2 linked regions of the Coturnix japonica genome follow. The protein of the gene in region 1 purifies or fractionates together with the protein of each later gene. This does not show direct contact. Links are inferred from orthologs where the notes say so. Each region holds a gene or a part of one and is shown on either strand. Other genes may lie near its edges.

Evidence for each region.
Region 2: the proteins of ATXN7L1 (region 1) and USP22 purify together in Homo sapiens (affinity purification with mass spectrometry; 3 studies listed by BioGRID and IntAct, with this or other methods). This does not show direct contact. The link is inferred for Coturnix japonica from reciprocal best matches to the Homo sapiens genes ATXN7L1 and USP22.

What each region holds. Positions count from the first base shown.
Region 1 is NC_029516.1:12,700,913-12,705,165, forward strand, and holds the start of ATXN7L1 (ataxin-7-like protein 1), read right to left. Parts: upstream 2,840-4,253; 5' UTR 2,666-2,839; coding exon 2,551-2,665; intron 2,120-2,550; coding exon 2,051-2,119; intron 1-2,050.
Region 2 is NC_029529.1:4,593,304-4,597,811, forward strand, and holds the start of USP22 (ubiquitin carboxyl-terminal hydrolase 22), read left to right. Parts: upstream 1-1,527; 5' UTR 1,528-1,608; coding exon 1,609-1,734; intron 1,735-4,508. UniProt on the Homo sapiens protein: Deubiquitinase that plays a role in several cellular processes including transcriptional regulation, cell cycle progression or innate immunity.

The sequences.
Region 1 (4,253 bases):
CACTGCAAACAGCATCGACTGCCTACTCGAACCTGTGAGATTGCAAAGCAGAAATGATTTGAGTTTGACATTAAGACCTACCAGGACCACAGCCCATGTCTACTAACAAACCCAACAAAAAATGTCAACATCACACAGAACATCGTGTGCAAGACCCCAGTAAGTGCACGAGTGATTCCACAAATATGCCAGCAATGCTTTTTGGGAAACGATCTAACTCTTCACATTTTTCCGCACCTTTATTGCTAAGGACAGCAGGGCTCAAGCAGGATCTACAGTGGGTGTTCAGACACACGGGTGGGTGTGGTGGAAGCACCTGTGTTAACAGAGCGTTCAGGTGAACATGGGAGAAGTATTTCAACACATACTCATTTATTGGAACTTTATGAAAGTTCTAAGTGATCCAAAGCAAGTTGCTACAAGGAAACAAAACAATTCCTACAGCTTTTTATTTGCTAAACGCAACAGTATTTTGTCAGCTTTTTTGTTTGTTTTAAACCATTCTGCAATGCAAGCCCCATAGAAGCAATAAGTAGTTCACACCTGTCACTATCAGTGATGACATTACACGTTTGAAATAATTTTTCTGGAGAGCAAGTTCAACTAGATCTCTCTTAATGGAGCCCGTGAACTCCCCAAAAACCAATAAAGGACTACAGCTCACCCCGTACACCGAACTGTTCTAAGAAATGATTTGCATATGGGTATGACTAAGGAGCAGTGATGCTCTTCGATCTTTACCTCTCAAATAACACCACAACAAGAATTTGTACTCTAGGACTTCTAGGTACAAAGCCAAGCAAAATAGTGGAGTTCTAGCAGGTAAGAATCAAGACAAACACAATCAAGCCTGGTACCTCCATCAATGCCTGTCAAAGTGGGGGTTCTACGTTATTCTTAATTTATCGTTATTTAATGCATATTCCATGTGATTCTATCACACAGATTTACTTCACTAATTAATTCATTCATTTTCAAGAGTCTGTTTATAGAACATAATATTCATTTAAGCTGTTGAGGTGCTCAAACTTAAATACGCGTGTAAAGGCAACAATACAGTACCAAGAACCTTTGAACCATTTCAGAATATCTATTCTGGTATGACAGGTGACGGTGGGATTTCTCTCAGCACCAGGAAATCACACAGAAGTCACACAATCACTTGTTAGGAACCAATTTCACAAGTATTTATCATGATGCCTGCAAGCACGTAGCGCTTCCTTAACAGAACAGAGTGAGCAGAACACCACACAAGAGCACGTCCCAAACCATCCCACCAGTTGCACTAGATGTTCCTCCAGCGCAATTTCAACAGTGCACATCACCAACAAGATGTGTCAGAGTGATTTACCTGTGCTGCCCAGTTCTTCCTCCAGCAGCTGACTGAACTAAGCCAAGCATGGCCTATGGGCAGGCATCATCAGTGTGGAATTTGCCTGTCCATACTTATGGGACCAGAGAACCCTCTGACCCAAGCGACCTATTGCATTGGGTTTTACACAATACACATCACTTAGCCTACTGTAAAGCAACGTCAGATGTTGGCTATTCAGTTGACTGCAAGTCACGTCCAGCAACAAGAATTAAAGAATAAAATGCAACTTGGCCTAAAGAGAACGCAACGATCATAAGGGACTGCTTCGGCAAACCAAATGCTCTTTGAGAATGTAAGTGTATATTAAAATACGACATAAGAGTTATCTGCCATGACACAGGGCTTGATCTGCTCATCTTCACATAGAAGCACGCGAAGCATTACATTGAGAAGGGACAGAGTCCTCAGCAAAAATCCAACATGGCCCCAACAGAGCCATCCATTGCCTTAGGATGACCCTGTCCCCCCTGTTGCCTTAGGATGACCCTGTCCCCCCTGTTGCCTTAGGATGACCCTGTTCCCTTACACACCTGCCACTCGCACACACCTCTGTGCCCACACCTCACATCACACCAACACCGCCACATCCACCTGCCCGACACCGGGCACTGCGGGGCCGCCTGCCACGGCCAGCCACCACCGACAGGTAGGGCGATGCTCTGGCCCCGCGCTCACCTTCTTTATTGAGCCTCATCACCTCCCTGCTTTTCGCACCCTCCTTTCCAGTCTCTTCCAGATCTGCACCTGCACAGGAGGAGAGGCACAGTCAGGAGCCGAGGCCCGAGGTGTGCACGCATTGTTCGGCGCAGAGGAGAGGTGAGGAGGTGCGCGGCTCGGCGCTCTGGGGCCCCCCCTTCCCTCCGCTTCCTTCCCCTTCCCGCAGCCGCTCCGCTCCGCGCATCCTCCCCCTCGCCCCCTTCCCCCACCGCGGCTCCGGCCCAGCGGCGCAGCCCGCTCTGCGGGGCCGGGCCCGCTCCTTCCTCCCGCACACACGGCACCGGGGCCCGGCGCGTCAGCTGAGCGCCCGGGGGGGGGCGGCACCTCCCGCGGCGCGGCCCGGCCCGGCCCGTGGGGGGCAGCGCGGGGTGTGGGTCGGCCGTGCCCCGGGCCGTGCGTGCGCTGCGGGGATGGGAGCGTTGCGCCGAGCCGAGCCGCGGGCCGGTCCCTGCCCTTACTGTGCGGGGGGGCGGCGCCGTGCGCGTGCGGGGGGGCGGCCTCCCGCACCCAGGCGGCCCAGGGCTGGCCCAGGAACGCCTCGGGACTGGGCACGGGCCGCTCCAGGGCCGCCATGGCGCCGCGCCTGCTCCTGCCTCCTTGTTGCTTTTCCCGTTTCCTTCGGCGGCGGCGGCGGCGAGCGAGCGAGCGAGACACGGGATTCGAGAACGCCGCACGTCATCCTCGGGACGTTCCGCCGCCCACACGGGGGTAGTGTCAGCCCCTGCTCCCTATCAGATCGGGCTCCCCGCCGCACAGCGCGCATGCCCGCGCCCCCCGCGCCTGCGCGCCGCGCCCCGCGACGCCGCCGTTCCCCGTTCCCCGGCCTGCAGCCCGGCACAACGCCCGGCACAACGCCCCCCGCCCGGCACGGAGCAGCGCGCGGTGCGGAGAGGAGCGAGGCCGTGGCGGAGCAGCGCCAAGGGAGGCAGCCGCCGGCCCGGCGCCCCGCAGTAAGTCCCCGGGACGCCTCTCGGCATCGCGGCCCCGCGGCGGCCCGGAGCGGGGCACGGGGCCGCCCTCCCCCGGCCGCCTCCGGCTGCGCGGCCACAGCCATTTTGTTGTCCGAGCACCGCTCGGGCCGTGGTCGCGTGTGGGCAAATGGTCTCGGTGGTGCCGGGCTGTGTGTGGGCTGCGGCGCTCGGCAGAGCTCCGGTCCCGGCCCTCTCAGGTAATGCCGAGGTCTGGTCTCGCTGCCTGCAAGCCACGGGACCCACGCGTGCTTCTTATTTTAGGCCTGTGTCATTGTTGGCTCAGTGCTTCACTAAGGTAAGAGCAGAAAATGTGCATCTGTGAAAAACACACACCCGTGAAAAAGATACGACTCGATAAATCGAATTCACGTGAAGGAATTACGGCATTAACCTAATGCTCACACCTACAAAGACACACACAAACACTGCTGAAGGTTACACAGCATTTCAGCAGCCCTGCTGAGGACACACGTAGCATCGCTCCTGGTGCTGGTCAGGGCCGTGGGCAGTGGGGTGCCCAGCCCTATGTCTGGGGGTGCTGAGGGCCTCCTGCCATCCCTTCCCCACTACCTTCCCCCTCCAGCCCCCAGTTAAGACCCTTTGTCACCATTTCCATTCCAACTCACTGTGAGTTATGGGACAGTGCTGAAACAGAGCATATTCTAGACTAAAACATAAAATGGCATGTAGTGCTGGCTTAAGGGTTCCAGCAGTGGCCAGAGAGGCAGGACAAGAGCTGCTGAAGGCAGCAAAGCAGCCTAGAGAAGGGTATGTGATACTAAAGCCTAAGACAGACTTAAGTACTTCTCTTACTATTTTATGGAGACTGGGCTCTTGCAGCACCAAAATGGATAAACGTTTTGGGCAAAGGACAAACACCCTTTGCCTCATATATGTTGTTAACAGACAGTATTGGATACAGGCAGTGTTCACACTCCACCTCTTCCAAAAAGTGGCTGGAATACGCAAGCCCCATCACTAATATCTGGAGGCAAGCCTAAAATCTTTCATACCATATGGCCTGGCCAGAGTGCCTCCAGTCATGTAACGCTAGCTGCAAGAAATGACAGGAAAACAATTAAAACAATCAAAGAAGCAGAGAGCTCGCCAATGTTTGCCTCAAAAGAAAACCAGTCAATCGCTGCAGGCTTGTTAGCAACCAGCGTGGAACAGGCACGAGGTGTACGACC
Region 2 (4,508 bases), on another chromosome or scaffold:
AGAAGCTGCTCCGTTCCCATCTCCTCCTCTTGCCTCACTCCACTCTTATGCAACCCCACAGCATGTGGAGCACACCAGAGCCGAGCACGGATTCGAGCATTTAGCACTATATTCTCACTGCCTTGTAGGGCTATTGATAGGGAACGCCACATTAAGGCTCTTTCTGGTGCTGGGGTTCTTTTTTAAGGGTGTTTTCGTTCCTTCTCAGTGCTCCCAATGGGAGCACAACACAGCGCGGCCTGCTGCACCACAGCGCTGCCCACCTCGAGCCGCCTCATCTCAGTGCAGGCCGCTGCGGCCTCACAACCCTCAGCCGGGGCTGAGGTTCCCGTGTCGGGCCTCTACCAGGCCGGGGGGGCGGCTCTGCCCCGGCTGCGACCCGGCCACCCCGCCGCCCCTCAGGAAATCACTGAGGTAAGAGCGAAGCGGCCGCGATCAGCGGATGTGACACCACCGCTGCCCCCATAGCCTAGGCCGCTGGGTGGAACCGCCCCTCAGCCCACCGCAGCCAATCCGCTCACAGCTTGGAGTGAGATTGACGGCCGGGATGGCCAATTGTTGCGAGGCATTCTTAGCGAACGTGCCGCCCTTTCTCTCTATTGGCCGGATGCCCCGTCAATCCGATAAGTCGTTCCCGCCCCTTTCCGGCAGGGGGAAATACTGGGGAGGAAGGGTGGAGGGAGAAGGGGGGAGGGGAGAAAAGAAAATCAACCAATGAGACGCCAAAGACGGGCGCTTCGGCAGCAGAGTGACAGGCGAGCGAACCAATGGCAGCGCTTCTTTCCTCCCTCTCCGTCTCCCTCCTCGCGGGTGGCGGGGCAGTGGGGGGGGTGCACCTACCGCCCCTTCCCCGTTGGTCTGTCCCACTCCGGGCCGGGCTGAGTGAGCGGCTCGGAGCAGCGCACAGCGCGGGCGGAGGGGGGGAGTGCGGGGAGAGCGGAGGAGGAGGAAGGAGACGGCGAAGGAGGCGGGGGGGGGAGGTTTAAAGAGACGAGGAGACCGAGGCGGGGCCGGCCGGCTGCGGAGAGGGAGCGGCGGCGGGCGGAGACTCGCCCTTCCCCACACACACACACGCTCCGCTCGCACCGGAGCCGCCGCTGCCGCTTCCAGGCCCACCCCCCCCCCCCGCTCTTCTTTCCCTTCCGCCTTCTATGAAGGTAGAAGGGAGCGTCGGCCACTCCGGGGGCGGCAGCGGCCGCTCTCTCAGCCGCCTCCTCCTCCTCCTCCTTCGCCTCAGAGCGAGCCCCATCTTTGTGTGCGAGGCAGGGAAAGAGAGAGGGAGGGGAGCGCGCCGCCCGCCGCCTCCAGCGCCGCGCTTTGTTCGGAGCCGGGGGCTCTATGTGCCCGCCGCCCCCCGGCTGCCCGCGGGGACGGAGGCGGCGGGAGGCGGCGTGAGGAGGGGCCGCAGCCCCTGAGGGCGGTGGCGGCGGGGAGGGAGGGTGGGGTGGCTGTGGTGGCTGTGGGGGGCGCGCGGCCGCCCCGTGTCGTGCCCGCGCCCGTGCCCGCGCGGCCGCCGCCGCCGCCGCCGCCGCCGAGGGGGGGAAGGGGCCGGCTCGCTGCCCGCCGGCCCGGCCCGTCGGCGGGAGGATTGATGTGGGGGGGTCTGACATGAGTCCGCCGGCGGCCGGGTGCTGCCATGTGACCGGCTTCAAGGTGGAGAACTGGAAGCAGAACCTGAGGGCCATTTACCAGTGCTTCGTGTGGAGCGGTTCGGCCGAGACCAGGAAGCGCAAGGTACCGGGGGCGGCCCCATCCACCCCCCTGCTCTCCCTTCCCCTCCTCTCGTCGGGCCCGCGGTTCCCGGCACGCGGTCGTGGTGGTGGTGGGGGTGGGTGGGAGGTGGGATGTTGGCTGCGGGTGCCCCCGCGGTGCGGGCACGGCGCTGGGGCTCAGAGCCGCCACCTGCCCCGCTCCGCCTTGCCCCCTTTCTCCGTCCCCGGGGCCGTTCCGCAGCGCCGCCGCCCCCCGGAGGTGCGGAGCCCTGTTCCCGGAACGCGGCGGAGGCTGCGGGGAGGGGAGGAGGGGGAGGGGAGAGCCCCGGGGCGATGGGCACGGCCCGACCCGCGGCGGGGCTTTGTGCCGCAGGGAGGGGTGGGGGAAGGAGGCACAATGGCTGGGAGAGGCTGGGGGGAGTTGACGAGGGCATTTCTGCTGTTTATTTATATATATATATATATGTGTGTGTGTATATATATTTTTTTTCCTTTGAAGATCGGTGGTCATCCGGTTGCAAAATGGGATTCCGGGTAGAGTGGGGGGTTGGGGGGAGAGCAGGAACTGAGTGCGGAGGGCACGGAGGGGGATAGAAGGAGCGAGCTGGGGGGTGCGAGCGTTCGGGGCACGCAGTGCGCAGCGCAGCACCGGAATCCGCTGCGATGAGGACAGACGTGACCGTCCCACCTGTGTGCGGCAATCCACACAATGCTGAGGAGCCCGAGCAGAGCCTCCCGCTGCCCTCCGTGCCATCAACTAGTTTGTACTAATAAGTGACTTTGCAGATTTCTATCGGTGGTGATGGTAATGGCCGAGGAGGGGACTGCAACAAACAGTGCGGCTGAACTGCGGGCTGGGACGGCCTGTTGGGCTGTGGGTAACTCTGGAGCTGTAGGTGTGTGCTGCAGGGCTGAGCGGCCCCTCTGTGTGAGCTTTGTGTTCTCTGGGAGTCCCCTGTTTTATTTCAAGGGAGGAAAAAATGGAATCCGAAGGAAAATGATCAAGTTAGTGGCTTGCTTGAGAGCGCTGCAATGTACAGCCAAAGTTGTGTTCTGCATCCCTAACGCACTGCAAGACAGTGTTATGGAGTATGTTAGGCAGAATTGGGTTTCATTTAACCTTTGGTATGTCAACATACGGATGGGTTTATGGTACAGCATACGTGGGGCTTAACATACGTGTGCTGCTGAAGGAGTGGGGTAAGAAGGTGTCTCAGAGGAATATTGCTTGTGTTACATGGCAGAAGGAAACCCAGAATTCATCAGTAAGATGAACACTTCAGCTTCCATTATTTTGAATGAGGAGCATCCCTTACAGCCATGGGCTGCTGTTGGTTGGGTTTCTTCTGGAATCTATCACTAGTGATGCATGTATTTATTGCCAGCTGTTTTTTAAGCCATAGTAATTGCTTGCTGTAATCAATCTGTGCTCCCACCTTTACCTCTTTGTAACCCGTGACACTCTTAGGACAGGCAGGCTCATAAGGCAGAACGGGGTGGTTGCGAAATCATCTCATCGAAAACATCCTTTTACCAGATACGTGCTAAAAATGCCTTTTGTTTTTAAGCAGATTTCCAGTCTGGAAATAGTTGGATTCTGAGTTCTACCAACCTGAGATGTGTGGGAGTAAATCATCACATACAGGGAAGTGTTTTGGGTACCTGCATTTGGTGGTGAATTCTTATATTCATAAAGGTAGAAGGAAGTATGGGAACAGTTATGGTGCTTACCTGCTGTACATGGATGTGAATCCTTCCCCTGCAGGATTTTTCCTTGCTGTCCATGTGTATCCTATATTTACATCTCAAACTTCATAGCAGCGTTTTCTGTTTTCGGATACATAGTGGGATAACTAAAAGGCAACCCGTTGTCCTTTATATAAGATGATATATCGTCTTTTATATATATATACTGTGTGTATGTATATATAAGGAGCACAGCCCTGACGTGGTGATGGACCAGTTAATTCATGGTGAGAATTCTCATTCTTAGCTCTAATCAAAGCAATGAGGTCAAATAAAGGTTTGATAGAAGGTGATTCGCAATTTCTGTTCCAAAAACCAGGGGCGGTTGCATCCTTCATTTGGCACAGCAAACATTCACAAGATGTAGCTGATCATTAATGGAAGCATTGATGAATTTAACTGTTATTCAGATGAACCTAGCTGTAAAACAACAAGCAAACCCAAACGTTTGGGCTGTTGGTGCTTGGGAGCCAGATGTTAAATTGTTGGGTCTCTGGGTTGCTAATGTTCTATCCCTCCTAGGGCTGCCTTATAAATCCAGATAGCAGTAGGAACTGCAGGGGGCAGAAAGTGTCTGCTGCTCCTCTTTTACTTATACTGCTTTACTGCATTATGCTTTAGAAGACCATTTTGACACTGCTTGCTGCTTGCTATTTGTTTTTAATGCGTACCTTTGCTGAGAATAAGCCTTGATGAGCTGTAGCCTTCATTACAGCGTTCTTCACATCCAGAGTTCTTAATAAAATAGCTGCAAAGCGCTGTTTGTAGTCGGAAAGCCATTTCCTGTACCTGTATTTGAATTCCCAATCAGAAGGAAGAGGTAATTATGAGCGTACATTTGTTAATGCTGGAATTCTGGTGAAGGGTTCAGGAGTGTGTTTGCTTCCATGGGATTTCAGCTCTCCTACTGGTGTGTTGTTCTGCCTCCATCCAGGGGCTGAGCTGTAGCTTTGTGCCTGTACGTGCTGTTATAGGCAGAGCTTTGCTGTAGTGCGAATGTGCTGCTGCTGGTAAAGCCTAAAGGAAGTCAAAACCTGAGCATTGTGTTGT